Diceros bicornis minor: one gene and its partner. The protein of the gene in region 1 interacts with the protein of each later gene in a pairwise test. Links are inferred from orthologs where the notes say so. Each region holds a gene or a part of one and is shown on either strand. Other genes may lie near its edges.

What was found. The genes of interacting proteins can lie anywhere in the genome.
Region 2: the proteins of UBE2D4 (region 1) and E3 ubiquitin-protein ligase RNF4-like interact in a two-hybrid assay, tested with the Homo sapiens proteins (2 studies listed by BioGRID and IntAct). The link is inferred for Diceros bicornis minor from reciprocal best matches to the Homo sapiens genes UBE2D4 and RNF4.

The regions. Positions count from the first base shown.
Region 1 is NC_080780.1:1,119,184-1,127,228, forward strand, and holds the start of UBE2D4 (ubiquitin-conjugating enzyme E2 D4), read left to right. Parts: upstream 1-5,042; 5' UTR 5,043-5,135; coding exon 5,136-5,159; exon of another isoform or gene 5,160-5,267; intron 5,268-8,045. UniProt on the Homo sapiens protein: Accepts ubiquitin from the E1 complex and catalyzes its covalent attachment to other proteins. In vitro able to promote polyubiquitination using all 7 ubiquitin Lys residues, but may prefer 'Lys-11' and 'Lys-48'-linked polyubiquitination.
Region 2 is NC_080744.1:41,883,354-41,890,514, reverse strand, and holds the start of E3 ubiquitin-protein ligase RNF4-like, read right to left. Parts: upstream 3,099-7,161; 5' UTR 2,904-3,098; intron 526-2,903; 5' UTR 263-525; coding exon 1-262. UniProt on the Homo sapiens protein: E3 ubiquitin-protein ligase which binds polysumoylated chains covalently attached to proteins and mediates 'Lys-6'-, 'Lys-11'-, 'Lys-48'- and 'Lys-63'-linked polyubiquitination of those substrates and their subsequent targeting to the proteasome for degradation.

The DNA.
Region 1 (8,045 bases):
GGGCCTCCAAGGAAGTAATTACAGTCATGCATCACTTAATGATGGGGATACTTCTGAGAGATGATTAACTGATTTTGCTGTACAAACATCGAGTGTACTTACACAAAGCTAGATGGTTTAGCCTACTATACATCTCGGCTATAAGGTACTAATCTTATGGGACCACCATCATACATGCAGTCCGTCATTGATCGAAACGTTGTTATGCAGCACATGACTCTAAGGTTAAATGAGGTCATAAGGGTGGGGCCCTGATCCAATAGGACTAGTGTCCTTATAAGAAAAGACATCAGAGAGCTAACCCTCTCCCTCCACCCCCATGACCTGTGTTCACGCACCAAGAAAGACCATGTGAAGATATAGTGAGGAAGCCATCTAGAAACCAGGAACAGAGCTGTCATCAGAAACCAAGTCAGCCAGAACCTTGATCTAGGACTTCTAACCTCCAGAGCTGTGAGAAAATAAATTTATGTTGTTTAAGACACCTGGCCTATGGTATTTTTTATGGTTGTTCTAGCAAACTAATACAAGTTCTTTTGGCTCAAAGTTTTTCATGGGATTGCACTTAAGCTGTGAGCCAGGATCATCTTAAGGCCTGAATGGGGAAGGATCAACTTTCAAGCTCGTTTACATGGAGTTGGCAGGATTCAGTTCCTTGTGGGGTGTTGGACTGAGGGGCTTCATTTTCACTAGCTGTTGCCAGGAGGCCTCTCTCAGTTCCTTGGCACAGGGGCCTCTCCATAGGGAAGCTCACAATATAGCAGCTGGCTTCCATCAGAGTGAGAGAGAGAGAGAGAGAGGGAGTAAGGGAGCGAGGCAGCAAAAAAATGAGAGGGCCAGAGAGGTTGCCCAAGATAGAAGCCAGTCTTTTTCTTACCCTAATCTCAAAAGTGACATCCCATCACCTTTTCTATTAATTAGAAACATCACTAGGGGCTGGCCCAGTGGTGTAGTGGTTAAGTTCGTGCATTCTGCTTTGGTGGCCTGGGGTTCACAGGTTCAAATCCTGGGCGCAGACCAACACACCACTCGTCGAGCCATGCTGTGGTGGCATCCCACATACAAAATAGAGGAAGATAGGCACAGATGTTAGCTCAGAACCAATCTTCCTCAGCAAAAAGAGGAAGACTGGCAACAGATGTTAGCTCAAGGCCAATCTTCCTCACACACACACACAAAAATATCATTAAATCCAGCCCACACTAAAGGAGAGGAGATTACAAAAGGGCTTGAATACTAGGAGGTGGGGATTGTTGGGGGTCATCTTAGAGGCTCCCTACAATAAGCTCTCAATAGCCAAATCTAGGACACCTTGAGCAACATATAAATAACAATACTAATGGATTAAAACTGATAGAATAAAAATCCATGAGTCCACACTGATATAAACAAAATACTTGAATAAATAAACGAGGGAGAAAAGACAGCGCTTCCTTACAGTAGAATTCCAATTAATAAATGTAGAAAGAAAACTAGAAACAGAAAATTAACATTTGGTAAACACCACAGTAATAACTGCCGTAGGCAAGAAGGGAATCTAAAATTACCGCATGAAAGTAAGATTGAAAAAACAAATAAGGTATTCACATAGCCTCAAAGTTTCTCCCAAGCTACTATTAATTTAAAAAGAAAAATTTTTATCTTTACAGTGGAGAAATATGACAAATATCAACTTAAAGTGATCAGACTTTACCAGTAACAAGACTTACCAATGTCATGTACCTCCTGGTACGACGCACTGAGGGCAGAACATCACTCTGTAACAGTCTTGCCAAAAATGCATAACCTTAATCTCATCAATCAGAAAACCCAAACTGAAGGATAGTCTACAAAATAACTTGCCCATACTCTTGAAAAGTGTCAAGGTCATCAAAGACAAAGAAAGACTAAAGAATTGTCTAAGATTGCAGGATGCTAAGGTGACAAGACAAGCAAATGCAACATGGGATCCTAAATCGGATCCTGGATCAGAAAAAGGCTGTTAGCTGGACAATTAGCAAAATTTAAGTAAAGTCTGTAAATTAGTTAATAGTATTGTATACACGTTAATTTTCTGGATTAGATAATTGCATTACAGTTATGTAATATGCTAATATTAGGGGAAGCTGGGTGAAGCGTATACAAGAACTGTGTATTGTTGTTATTATATTTTAAACAGCTTTACAGACATAAAATTTACCCATTAGTAATCACTCCCTATTCCCCACCCTCCCTTAGCCTTAGGCAATCACTAATCTACTTTCTGTCTCTGTAGAGTTGCCTATTCTGGACATTTCATATCAATGGAATCACACAATATGTGGTCTTCTGCGACTGGCTTCTTTCATTTAGCATGTTTTCAAGGTTCACATGTTGAATTGTGTCCCCCCAAAATATGCTAAAGTCCTAATCCCCAGTACCTGTGTACGTGACTTTATTTGAAATTCGGGTCTTTGCAGACGTCAAGTTAAGATGAGGTCATTAGGGTGGGCCCTAATCCACTATGATTGAGTCCTCATAAAAAGGGGAAATTTGGACACAGAAACAGACACACATACAAGGAAGACAATGTCAAGACACAAGGAGAACACCATCTGTAAGCCAAGGAATGCCTGAGGCTACCAGAAACTAGAAGAGAGAGGTGGAAAAAAGATCCTCCCTCACAGCCCTCAGAAGGAACCAACCCTACCAATACCTTGATTTCAGACATCTAGCCTCCAAAACTGTGAGACAATAAATTTCTATTAAGCCACCCAGTTTGTAGTACTTCGTTACATCAACCACAGCAATCTAATATACCCATGTTGTAGCATATATCAGTACTTCATTCTTTTTATTGCCAAAATATTCCATTTTGTGGATATATCATATTTTGTTTATCCATTAAACATTTGGGTTGTTTTGACCTTTTGGCTATTATCAATCACACTGCTATAAACATTTGTGTACAAGTTCCTGTGTGGACATGTTTTAATCTCTCTTGGGTATAAACCTAAGAAAGGAATTGCAAGGTCATATAACTTTAACTTTTTAAGGAACTGCCAAACTGTTTTCCAAAGTGGCTGCACCATTTTACATTCCCACCAGTAAAGTGTGCAAGTTCCAAATTCTCCACATCTTCACCAACACCTGTTATTGGCTGTCCTTTTGATTATAGCTATCCTAGAGGGTGTGAAGCGGTATCTCATTGAGTCTTTGATTTGCATTTCCCTAATAACTAACAACATTGAGCTTCTTTGTTTTACGTGCTTATCGGCCATTTCTATATCTTTGAAGAAATTCCTATTCAAATCCTTTGTTCAGTTTTTAATTAGTTTGTCTTTTTTATTGAGTTGCAGGAGTTCTTTATATGTTCTGGACCCTTATCAAATACATGATTTGCAAATATTTTCTCCCATTCTGTGGGTTGTCTTTTTGCTTTCTTGATGGTGCTGTTTGAAGCACAAAAGTGTTAAATTTTTATGAAGTCCAATTTATCAATTGTTAAATCTTTTATTATATTTGCGATACTTCTGTACATCTAAAACTACTTCAAAATAAAAAACTATGTATAAAAGTTTATGTAAAAAGCTTAGAAGACTATGTGCTAAACTACCAACAGGAAGCAGAAATGGAATTTTTCATTTGCTATTCAACACAATTCCGTTTCTTTTCTTTTTCCTGGATTTCTTTTCCGGATTATACAAGTGAGCAGATTCTCTGTGGAAATTTTGGAAATTAACATCATTAGTAAAGTCACCATCCAGAGATAACCATTGTTGTCACTTAAGTTTATATTCTTACACAAATAAACATTTATAAAAATTTGGGATCATTTGTTCTATGAGGGGAGAGCCACGTAAACAATTCCGGGATGGACGACTCACTGACTAACAGGAACACCAAAAAAAGGTGCTCCACCAGGGGCATTCAGGGGGGTGATGCCTTAGCTCGCCTTGCAAGGTGAGGGATGGCTCTGCTTTGGTGGAAGGAAAGAGGGAGCCTTCCAGACAGAGGACAGCCACGAGTAAAGGAACGTAATGGGAGCATGATGGAAACCCTTCATAGTAAGCCAGCTGGACCATACTGGATTTTGAAGAGCCTTATGCGACAGGATGTAATCCTTGTAGGCCGTGGGGCATCCTTGTCGAGTTTTGGGCAAGGGACACGGCTAGGGACCGTGGAAACGTCTATAATACATTTTATATTCTGACTGAGTACACACACACAGGTGACCATATGTTGGCCAGAGACAACCCCAGATTACACCTTTGGGCCTAGAGTAACTATACTGCACTTCCCTTTCACTCCCAAAAATGCATGATTTTGGAGGATGCGTGTTATCATCTACACACATACACACAACGGAACTTGCACACTTCCCACCTTTACTACGTGAGATGCACTAATATTCTGTATTCTGTATTATTCCAGTTTTTAAATGTTGGCTGCAACCCGTTAAACTGATTTCGTGACACACTAATTGTTCCTAATCCACAGTTTGAAAAACTCTGACCTAGATGCCTGCCAGGTCTTGGGAAAAAGGGAAGGAGACAGAGAATCAAGTTTGGATGTGCAGTGTAAGGCCGTGGTTCTCAGCCTAGGCAGCGCCATAAAATCACCCGAAGCATTACTGAAAACGCACACCTCCAAGCCCACTGCATTTAAAACTTTGTTATGTGTATTTCTACGGAAAGAGCTGTGACATATTTGACACGTAACACGTAAAAGGGTATGAATACTTACAGACTTAAGTTCAAAGCAGAGCTGAGAACCACTATTTTCAGGAGTATGCGACAGCCTGGGAGGGAGCCCAGGAGGCAAGGACAGGGAGCACGGCCGCCGGCCCCTCCCAGGTGCTCGGCGAGTCACTGTTAAACCAACGAGTGTCCCTCTCTCCGCCGGCCTCCCCAGACCCTCGCTGACCCGGGGGCTGGGCCGCGGCGGGCGCCACACAGCAAGCGACAGACGACGCGGCCGCTCCCGCTCGCCAGGCCCACTCCGCCCGCCCGCTCCGGTACGCGCCAACCGCGGGACGCCGGCCCCACAGTGCCCCGCGGCGCGCACGCGCAGGCGGCCGTTCCCGGCTTGCAGCGCTGCGCCGCGGCCGAGCCGGCAGCGGGCAGCCTCTGGCAGCCCGGGGCCGAGCCGCCCCCGTCTCCAGCAGCTGGGGTAGGATGGCGCTGAAGCGGATCCAGAAGGTAAGGGGCCCTCCCCCGCTAGGGCTTCTTGCGAGTCCGAAGCGTGGGGGTCTGAAGCCTCGATTCGCGGGCGGGGGCGCCGTGGCTCCCAAGTGAACAGCGGCTGAGGTGGGCAGACCACGGCGACACCTGCCGGGGGGGGGGGGGGGGGGGGGGGGGCGGAACTGCCGCCGGCGCCGCCTTAAAAGGGCACGGCGCGGCGCGCGAGGCGGGGCCAGCGTCACGTGGGGCGGTGGGGCGGGGTTGGAGGGGCGTGCCCGGAGTCACGTGGGGATTGCGTCAGGCTGGCAGGTTGGCTGGTGGGCTAGGCGGGGCGGCAGGGGGAGTTGACGGTGGTGCCTGCTGCGATGTTCAGACTCAGGGCTCTGTCGTTGCCTGTCCCGGGCCACGAGAAGGCGCCGGTTGTCTGAGGAATGAGGGCTCGCCCTTGTAAAAGTGTCGGGAGGGCTGGGCGGGGGAGTCGTGGTTGGAGCTGGGTCCTAAGGAATGAGTTGGAACTCTGCAACTGGAGAAAAGGGACAAGGGCGTTCTCGGCCACAGGAAGACCGCGTGGCTTGGCTTGGGGCCCAATGAAGATGACCGGAGCAGGATGCTGAAGCAGGGGATGGGAGTGGGTTAATGGGCCTGGACTGGGTCTTAGGGCCAGTGCTGGCATAACTGTTTTTTTATCTTGTAGGTAACTGGGAGTCGTTATAGGCGATTAATATATTGTCAAACTAAAAAGCAAATTCCTGTTATTTTATCCTCAAAACGAATTTATTCCAGAATACCCAAAAGAAATGCAATTCAGAATGTACATGCTATGGCAAACCATAGGCAAATCCGGAAAACTTTTTTAAAAGAGGGTTGCTGCTTTTATAGAGAGAAAGAGGTGGGGGAGGGTGCTGTTCTAAGTGAAAGTGCATTGGGGGAAGGTAACATTTCAGGGAAGCTGTGGCTTCTCATTGGCTGAGCTTGTCATTTCTCATTGGCTGGGCTGTTGCTAGGTTGAGAGAGAAATCTTCCTTCAGTAGTAAAGTAGTTTTACTTCCTGTCCAAGATGCACGCAGGTCTCTTCCTGTTTGGTGCATGATGCGGTGTGAGAGCTCCCCATACAGGGCTTTGCAACTGTGATTTAGTTATGATTTCTTTTATTAATTTCCATGATATTAACTAGAATTTGGAAAATGCACAGTAGTAGAAGAAAGAAAACATATTCCCAATTCTACCACCTTACCATTTGTTGACATCCTAGCATATCTACTACCAGTCTTTTTCCTATACTTTAAAGAAAATAATCATACTGTATTTTGTATCCCACTTTTATCACATAGCCTTAAACGTGAGCATTTTCCATGTTGTGAAACAGTATTCATAGTCATAATTTTTAACACTAACTTTCTGTAAGAAAGTGACCAGTAACTTAATCAGTACCTGTAGCGAGTAAACACATGGACATGGGTGTTGAGGGACCTGGGGTAGAGAATGAGGTCACCTGTGGTAGGACCACAGGCAAGGCACTTAATCATTCCCAGCCTCTGTGTCCTATATAGAGTTGTTTTAAGACTTAAATGAGATGATACATGTTTAACACATGCTTGGTATATATCAAGCACTAAATATGAGTTAACTGCCATTGATATTCTAAATTCTTCATAAGAGTGCTGTGATGAGCATTATTGCACAGTAGGCTTAGATTTGATTACCAGAGATGGAATTACAGGATCTCTAAGGGTGTGACTCATTTTTTATAATTAGCTCTCCAAAAAGGAATTTTTTTGGCAAATTATTCTCTAAAGGGGTCATCTGTCATCCTAGGACTTTGAACCGGGTGAATCACATGCTCAGATCTGTGTTATAACAAGATCCTTCTGGCGGTGATGTGGCCTGGAGTGGGCCAGAGACTCGTGCAGAGGGAGAGTAGAGGTTATTGTGAAAGTCCAGCAAAGGCTTTGCCCAGATTAATGACTGTGGAATGGATACCAAGGCAAGGGCAGTACTTGAGTGACATGGCAGAGGTAGAATTGACAGGACTTGAAGAAGAGTATGTGGTGTATCCATCCACAAGATGGATAACTGGGTAGATGGTGGTGTCATTGCCTAAGATGAGGAATCAGAAGTTTTGAGGACAGGGAGCAGGGTTGGGGAGATAAGGAGTGTAGGTTTGAACCTAGATGTTTGAACACATAGCCTGATCATATTTATAAAAGGGAAAACTAGGAGAAACAAGTTAGGACCTTGAGGCTGAGATGGCAGCCATAGATATAAGGTAATTGAAGTCAGAAGGCTAGGGAGAACTTGCCTTGACAGGAATCAATAAAGGAGGAAACCAGAGCTGGCTTCCTGGGTATGTGACCTATATTGTCTCACAGGGCCCTTTGCTGTGAAGAGCCCTGTCCCTGGGTTAGTGCTCTGCAGTCACCATGTTGAAATTCAATAATTATTGAAGAAGAGACCCTGTATTTTCATTTTGCATGAGGACTCTGAAAATTATGTAGCAAGTCCTGGAAGAAACAATGCAATGGTAGGAAATGTCTTGAAAAATGTGTCCAGTGCACAGTGGTGAGAAGGCAACACTGGGACAAGTTAGGAAGCCTTGGCTGGAAGTGACAGAGGCCCAGCTGCCCTGGCTACAGAATTGGAGGTCCACAGGACTTTGGGAGTGACTTTGGGGCTCCTGCTCTGTTTCCATGAGATTCTCTGGACTGAGCAGCTCTGGGCCCCATAGCCCACTGGGCATCCCCTAAGAAGAAGAGAGACGCTGGCTTCCAGAAGTTCTCCGAGAGCCAAGAAAATCTTTTTTTTTTCCTTTATTTACTTGTTATGAATTAAGTTACATGCTCATTCTTGAACCAGTGAGTGCCAAGACTGCTTTTAGAATGTCTGGCTACTGCTAGACCTGGAGCT
Region 2 (7,161 bases), on another chromosome or scaffold:
CAGTTTGGCCTTGGAGTGACCTTGTGTTTCTCCTTGGCCTCCTCCTTTCTTCAGTAATCACAACACAGTCATGTTGAGTTAGGTCAATCACTGCAGGTTCTAGAGATTCACAGGTGAGGTCAACTACTTCATCACTTTCCTCAAGTTCTATCAATTCTGCTTCCAAGACAATCTCAGGAGATGGGCCTCCTTCTCCAGCTGTATGGAATTCTCGGGCTTGTCTGGAATTCACCATACTACCATAGCCCATTCTTGTATTCATTGTGCTTTTTGGATCCAGTCTTCAAAGAAATAAATGACCTGTACCAAAGTTTACAGTGAATGTTAAAGCCCTCAATGTCTCTCAGCTGTTGGTCAGTCACTCTCTGACTTACATAAGAATTTAGAGCCCAGATTTTCCAGTATATTTGAACTCTGATTCTGATTTCAGTCCTGTCTCCACCTCCACAACTGCTATGTTCCTGCAAGGTTGGGGGTTGAGTCTTCTTGGAGCCACTTATGAGACAGCTCAATCTGAATTTTTAACTGAAAAAAATGAGAGAAAAATTAAGCCTTAGTAATATTTAAAAATAAGATTGATAGTAATATAAAATGTATAGATATATAGAAAAATAATATATAAAAATATATATTTATATATAAAATTGTGTACTCAAAATTTCTGATAGTTATGCATTTAAACAAAATTTATACTTTGTGCCCCTCCTCATTTCATGTCCTGATGGTAGTGGGGTGAAGGAGAAACCCAAGGGGCAGTTACATGAAGAGAAGCACAAAATCATTAAACACCAAGAAAAGGTCACTACTTCATCCAAGATCCATTATGAGGATCTCAAGGAAACACTTATTTTTTACAAAGTGAAAATGGAGAGACCAAAAAGCTATTTGCACATTTGAGTTTCTAATAACAAATAAGAAATGAATCATTTAGTCTACACGGAGGTTCATCTTGCCCAAGATTCCCTTTCTAACAGAGGCAGCAAGTGGAGTTTTGAAGAGTTTTATCCCAGATTCTGTTCTAGGAAAGAGGGGATAGAGTTCAAGCACTCGCCACAGACAGACTTGGTTTGAGTCTAGACTCTGACTTGGGGGCATGTGACCTAGACAGTTAAAGTTCTCAAAACCTCAGCATGTAAATCCTTTTTAAAAATTATTTTGTAATTCAGATATATTTTAAATAATTTTAAAATCATTGGTCATCATTAAAGAAATGCAAATCAAAGCCATAATGAGATATCATTTCACACCCAGTAGGATGGCTATAATAGGAAGATAGATAATAACAAGTGTTGGCAAGGATGTAGAATTTTGGGATTCTCATGCACTGCTGGTGGGCAAGTAAAATGGTGTGGCAGCTTAGGAAACCAGTCTGGCAGTTTTTCAAAAGGTTAAATATATAGTTACCATATAACCCAGGAAGGCCACTCCTAGGTATATACCCAAGAGAACTGAAAACTTATGTCCACAACTGAAAATTTGTACATGAATGTTGATAAGAGTATTATTCATAATAACCAAAAAGTGGAAACAGCCCAAATGCCCATTAATTGCTGAATGGATAAACAAAATGTGGTATAATCCATACAATGGAGTATTATTATTATTATTATTATTTGTGTGTGTGTGTGTGTGTGAGAGAGAGAGAGAGAGAGAGAGGAAAGTTAGCCCTGAGCTAACATCCGGTGCCAATCCTCCTCCTTTTGCTGAGGAAGATTGGCCCTGGGCTAACATCCATGCCCATCCTCCTCTACTTTACATGGGATGCCACCGCAGCATGGCTTGACAAGCAGTGTGTCCAAGCACACCCCAGATCTGAACCTGCGAACCCTGGGCCACCGAAGCAGGGCGTGCGAACTTCACCACTATGCCACCAGGCTGGCCCAATGGAGTATTATTCAGCAGTAAAAAGGAATAAAGTGCTGACACTTGGTACAATATGGATGATCTTTGAAAACATCATATTAAGTGACAGCAGCCGATCACAAAACACCACATATTGTATGATTCCATTTATATGAAATGTCAAGAACAGGCAAATCAATAGAGACAGAAAAATTAGTGGTTCCTTAGGGTTGGGGATTGGGGAGAAATGAGGAGTGACTGCTAATGGGTACAGGGTTTCTTTGAAGAGTGATGAAAATGTTCTAAAATTGAGGTGATGGTTGCACAATTCTGTGAATACACTAAACCCCACTGAATTGTACACTTTAAATAGGTGAATTGTATGGTTTATATCTCAATAAAGCTTTCACCAAAACAAATAAACACACAAGCTGCCATAGAAACGTTACGCAAAACAGTGTAAGACCATCTAGACACAAGCCCTAGAACCTGGTAGAGAAGTGTGGAGCCCTAGAAGAAAATCAGCGGAAGCATAGGAGGGCGCGGCGCTCAGCGCTCCACTGGACGTGCCGATTTACTTATGAAGCAATACTTCTCTTGGACCCCACAGACACACCTGCCTCTCACTGGATCACCAGCCTCAAGTATTTGCCTTTCGTGACCAGCCTGCCCCTCCTTCTTCGCTCTGCGCCCAGGGAAAGAGAACCCTGGGGACGAGACCGGGCAGCCCCAGAAAGCAGTGCCCACCACCTGCGACCCCACCCATGCACCCTGCAGCTCATCAACGGCCTAGATATTTTGTCCTGTCCAGGCTAGTCCTTGCCAAGGTAGCTGTCCAGCGAGAATAGAGCAGGAAGCGTGCGTTCCAGCGGCGCGCCACTTTCCGGCCTCTCCTCTGCTTCGCGGTCCGGTCCGGTCCGCATGGAGCCTTAGCAAGCTGAACCCGGGTGCCTGGCTACACTGGGCCAGGAAGGAGGAACGAGGTGCTGCAGGGTCAGGGAGAGCCTGTGGATAGAGAGGGAGAGGCAGAAGGAGGGGGCGTCGCGGGAGGAGGTACTCACCGTGAACGCGCCCAGGTTGGCGGCGGCGCGCAGCGAAGAACAGAGCCAAGGTCACGAAGCGGGAGTCACGGTGCGTTTGCCCACCGACCCCACGGTAGAAAGCACGGGGGTTTTCCCCTCCTTTTAATCTGCTATTTTAGTTTCTCAACTGCCCAATCAAAACCCGAGCCCATGGTGGCTCGTCACCAGTCTCTGGGCAGAAAGCGCTGTTCCAGGTTAGAAAAGGGGACTTTCCCATCCTTAGTTTCCTTTTTCTCCAGTCTCATGTTTTCCGAGAAAGGGCAAGGGCGATGTTGTTGTATTTTGTTTTTTTTTTCCTCCTGGTCATTAGATCAGCAACTCCTCACTCTCTAAATAAAAGTGGTTCTCAACGGAGACAGTTCGCCTCTCTTTAAATTTTGAAAATTAATAGGGTTATTTTTGGTTGTTCCAACAATGGAGTGACTACAGGTATTTAGGGGCTGAGGGCCAGGGGCCCCAGCCTACACGCAGACACACACAGACTCTCCCCCACCACCCCCACCCCCCAATCTGTGAAAAACCTGCTTATAATCTGGGCTTTACAATCACGTGTAAAAACATGTCCTATTTTTCAGTTAATTTATTCCTTGAATACTTATTGACCATTTACTATAACAGGCCCATATACACTGAATTTTCCAGGAATGGAACTAGCAGGCAACTCAAAAGAAAATGTATTTTTGGTTTGTTTTTGGAATTTTACCTAGAGATTTTCACCATTTCAGAGAATCACACCACAGCCAGCAATACCATATCTGAATCTGAGCCATCAGTATAGTGCAACTCTCAGTCTTCAATGTCATAGTTCACAAAGATCCTAGGTCAGTTGCAAGCATGTGGCACTTCTTTACCTCAGCCAGTACAGCCAGGCTAGAGCATTCACATACTAAATTGCTTAGCTTTCATAATCAAATTAGTAAAAGAGGCACCAGAAGCAAAGGTTGTTATAAAAAGGAGGTGTTGCAGAAAAAAGGGGTGGAGGAGATGTTGGATCTGTTTGGAGTTGAAACCTCTAATATACACTGGAGTCCTAGGAACCATGCCCACCTCAGTCTACCAGGCCTGAACTTGAGTTCTGACTCCCTGTCCTAGAAATCTAGCAGCTAAGGCTTCAGTACACAAGTGACCTGCTTACTGTGCCATCACCAGTTAGTGGCTGAGAACCCTTCATTTTACAGGTAAGGAAACTGAGGCTGGGAAAGGTTAAGAGATTTGAAAGATGATGAACTGTGACAGAAGCAGGGCTAGAAGCTCCTGAAAATGCAATTAGACTTTTGTGAATTCTCTGAGCAAATCCTGAGACTGTCAGAAGCGAGCTCTGCCTGCAGATTTACCTTGGGAGGAACTGTCCAGAGTGAGGGGAACGTCTTTTACCTGCAGCCCTTTAGGGAAAGGAATTCTTACATTGTTTCTTTTTTTCACCAGCTCAGTGCCAAGAAGTTTTCCTTGTATCTCCTTGCTTTGGTTTTAGGCAATTTTATTTATTCTTGTGAGCTGTGAAAATAAATAACCACTGGGAGTAAAAGCAGTTGCCTAGAGCTTTACATTTTACAGAGCTCTTCTTACCACCATCCCCTTCTCAGAATGACCCCCGAACAGTATGTGGCACAGAGTAGACACTCCATATTTATTGAGCGAATAAATGAAAAACTTTATGAGGTAGGAATAATTATCCCGTTTTATGGATGTAGTGACAAAAAGTCAAGCCAGTAATATGACTTTTCCAGTTTTTTCATGGAGTTAGGATTCAAACTTAGACAGTAATATGACTTTTCCCATTCCTTTTGTGGAATTAGGATTCAAACTTGGGTCTGAATTCTGCTAACGTCTGTTGCCAATCTTCTTTTTCTTTTTTTCTCCCCAAAGCCCTAGTACATAGTTGTATATCACAGTTGTAGAGTTGTAGCTGTTCTATGTGGGATGCCACCTCAGCATGGCTTGATGAGCCGTAAGTAAGTCCGTGCCCAGGATCTGAACCAGCGAACCCCAGGCCGCCAGCTGCCGAAGCAGAATGCGCGAACCCACCCGCTACGCCACCGGGCCGCCCCGAAACTTTGAAATTTTAATGGAAGTTTGAGACAGCATGTGTTATGGGCCCAGCAGAGGAAGTTAACAGGAAATTCACAGTAGCAGACTGATGCCCCACCCAGACTTGATGAGCCCATCCCCAGCTTTTTCATATTTTGCTACTAACAGTTAGCACTTGCATAGTACTCCTAGCCCTGGAGATTACCCTCAGGCACTGGAGTGAGCTGGAAGTACCTGGGAGTTTTATGTTTCACCCCACTTCACACTCCTGGGCAGCCTGTAGCCAAAGACAAGCTGATGTGGAGCACCAAAGCCCAGCTCCTTTGCTTCAAGGCAGGACAAACTCTGAGGCGTGTTCCTTTTTTCTAGAGCTCCTGTGGGAATAGGCGGAGTGCCAGACAGCAAATCACACAACCACTTGGCTTCTTCCCATTCCCTATCCTTCATCCCTGACTCCCTCATTGGTTTCTCCTGGAAGCCCTTTCTTAATGTCACTTGCAAATCCTTGGTTCAGCGGCTGCTTCTGCAAGAACTCAACCTAAGACCCTCACTGACTCTTCAGATGATGAAAATGGCATGCACACTTGCAAACAGCTAAGGATACCTAGAAAACCACTTCAGACCACACTACAGCATCGTGTGGCAGCAAGAGGCCTCTCTGTTTTTTCTACGTGAAAACAGTAAAAAGAGGAAGTGGCCTGTTGGGGAGGGGAAGCTACACATCAGTGCGGTTTTCAGTTGAGCCTGTGTGCTACAGAAATATAGATATCTCCTTAGATTCAGAGACTTAGCGCGTAGTAAGTGTTTAATACATGATCAAACTATTATTTTTAATTATATTTACTAGTGGGGGTTTTTTCGATCAGCCCTTCTTATAGCTCTCCAAATTATCAGAATAGTTTTTAATGCATAAAGTTTCTAATCAAAGTACTCACAGATAATTTACTTCTTTAAAGATATCTAGGACCCAGATGTTAGTCTTCAGTTTTTTCTGAAAAGCCTAGAGTCCGAGGAGAGATATGTAATTTTTGCCCCTAAAACCTTAATGGCTCCATCACAGACAAGATGTTTATTTTATTAAAGAAAGACCTTGAATTTTGCCTCAAGAGTTTACAATACAAGAAATACAAGTAAAAAGCAACAGCCCAAAGGTATTTGAAGTGTGGTTGTTGACAAAAACTAGAGAAAACATTTGCCAGTTCTCTGTATTGTTTCCATTTATGCCATGTTTTCATTAGGGATAGTGAAAAAAAAGTGAGATATAAAAATTATTATTTAAAAAAATTTTTAAATAAATATAATAATAATAATAACAATGAAAATTTTTTAAAAGATAGAACAAAAAATAAAAATCTCCTGAAAAGCTAACCATACCAAAATGAACACTGATAAATGGTCATATCTGGGTGGTGGGATTAACAAGGTTTTTTTTTCCTTTCTGCCTGTATAAACTTTCTATTTTTAAAAATAATGAGCTATACTCAAATAATAAAAGTTGTAAAAATTCACATCATATAGAAGTATGTAGAATAATATTTAAAAAGTCTGCCTTCATCTTTCTCCTGCCATCCTAGCCCCTGCCCCTAGCTAAACATTGTTAAGAAGTTGTTGTGTATATTTCTGGAACTTTTCCTGTGGGTGTATCTGCTTAGAGGGATTGAGAAAAAAAAAAGATAAAAAGGCTAATATAGTTTGTTTAAAAATGTATAAAAATGGTAGCACCTCAGTGAGGAGTGCCTGAGAGGCAAACTCTGACAAGGGGGATGAGCAGGATAAGTGCCACGGCTGCCAAGATCTGAGCACCATTCTTGAGGAATATTGCACACAAACCGCTAATATACAGTCACAGTCTCAGCTCGATGTTTCCTTATAGGTCCTTGGTTCAACAGAGCAGTTCTAGGTTAAAACTGCTGAATTCTAACTGGCATTTCAGTATTACTTTGGACTTTCTCTTCCAGACGTGTTTTTTCCCCTTTACCTTGGTGAATTGTCTTAAGCCATGGCTCCTACCTTACAGCTTTTTCTCACTATCACTTCCTTTGGTCAGTTAAGACATGGGGTCCTCTCAGGCTGTCCTTGCAGTTCTAGAACCTGCATCAAATTATATGCTGTCTTTCTCTAGTTTCTTGGACATTTCTAAATTCTTCTAAAAGAGGAATTATAAGGAAATGCAAAGAGAACTATTTAATAAAGATTAAATTTTAAAAAT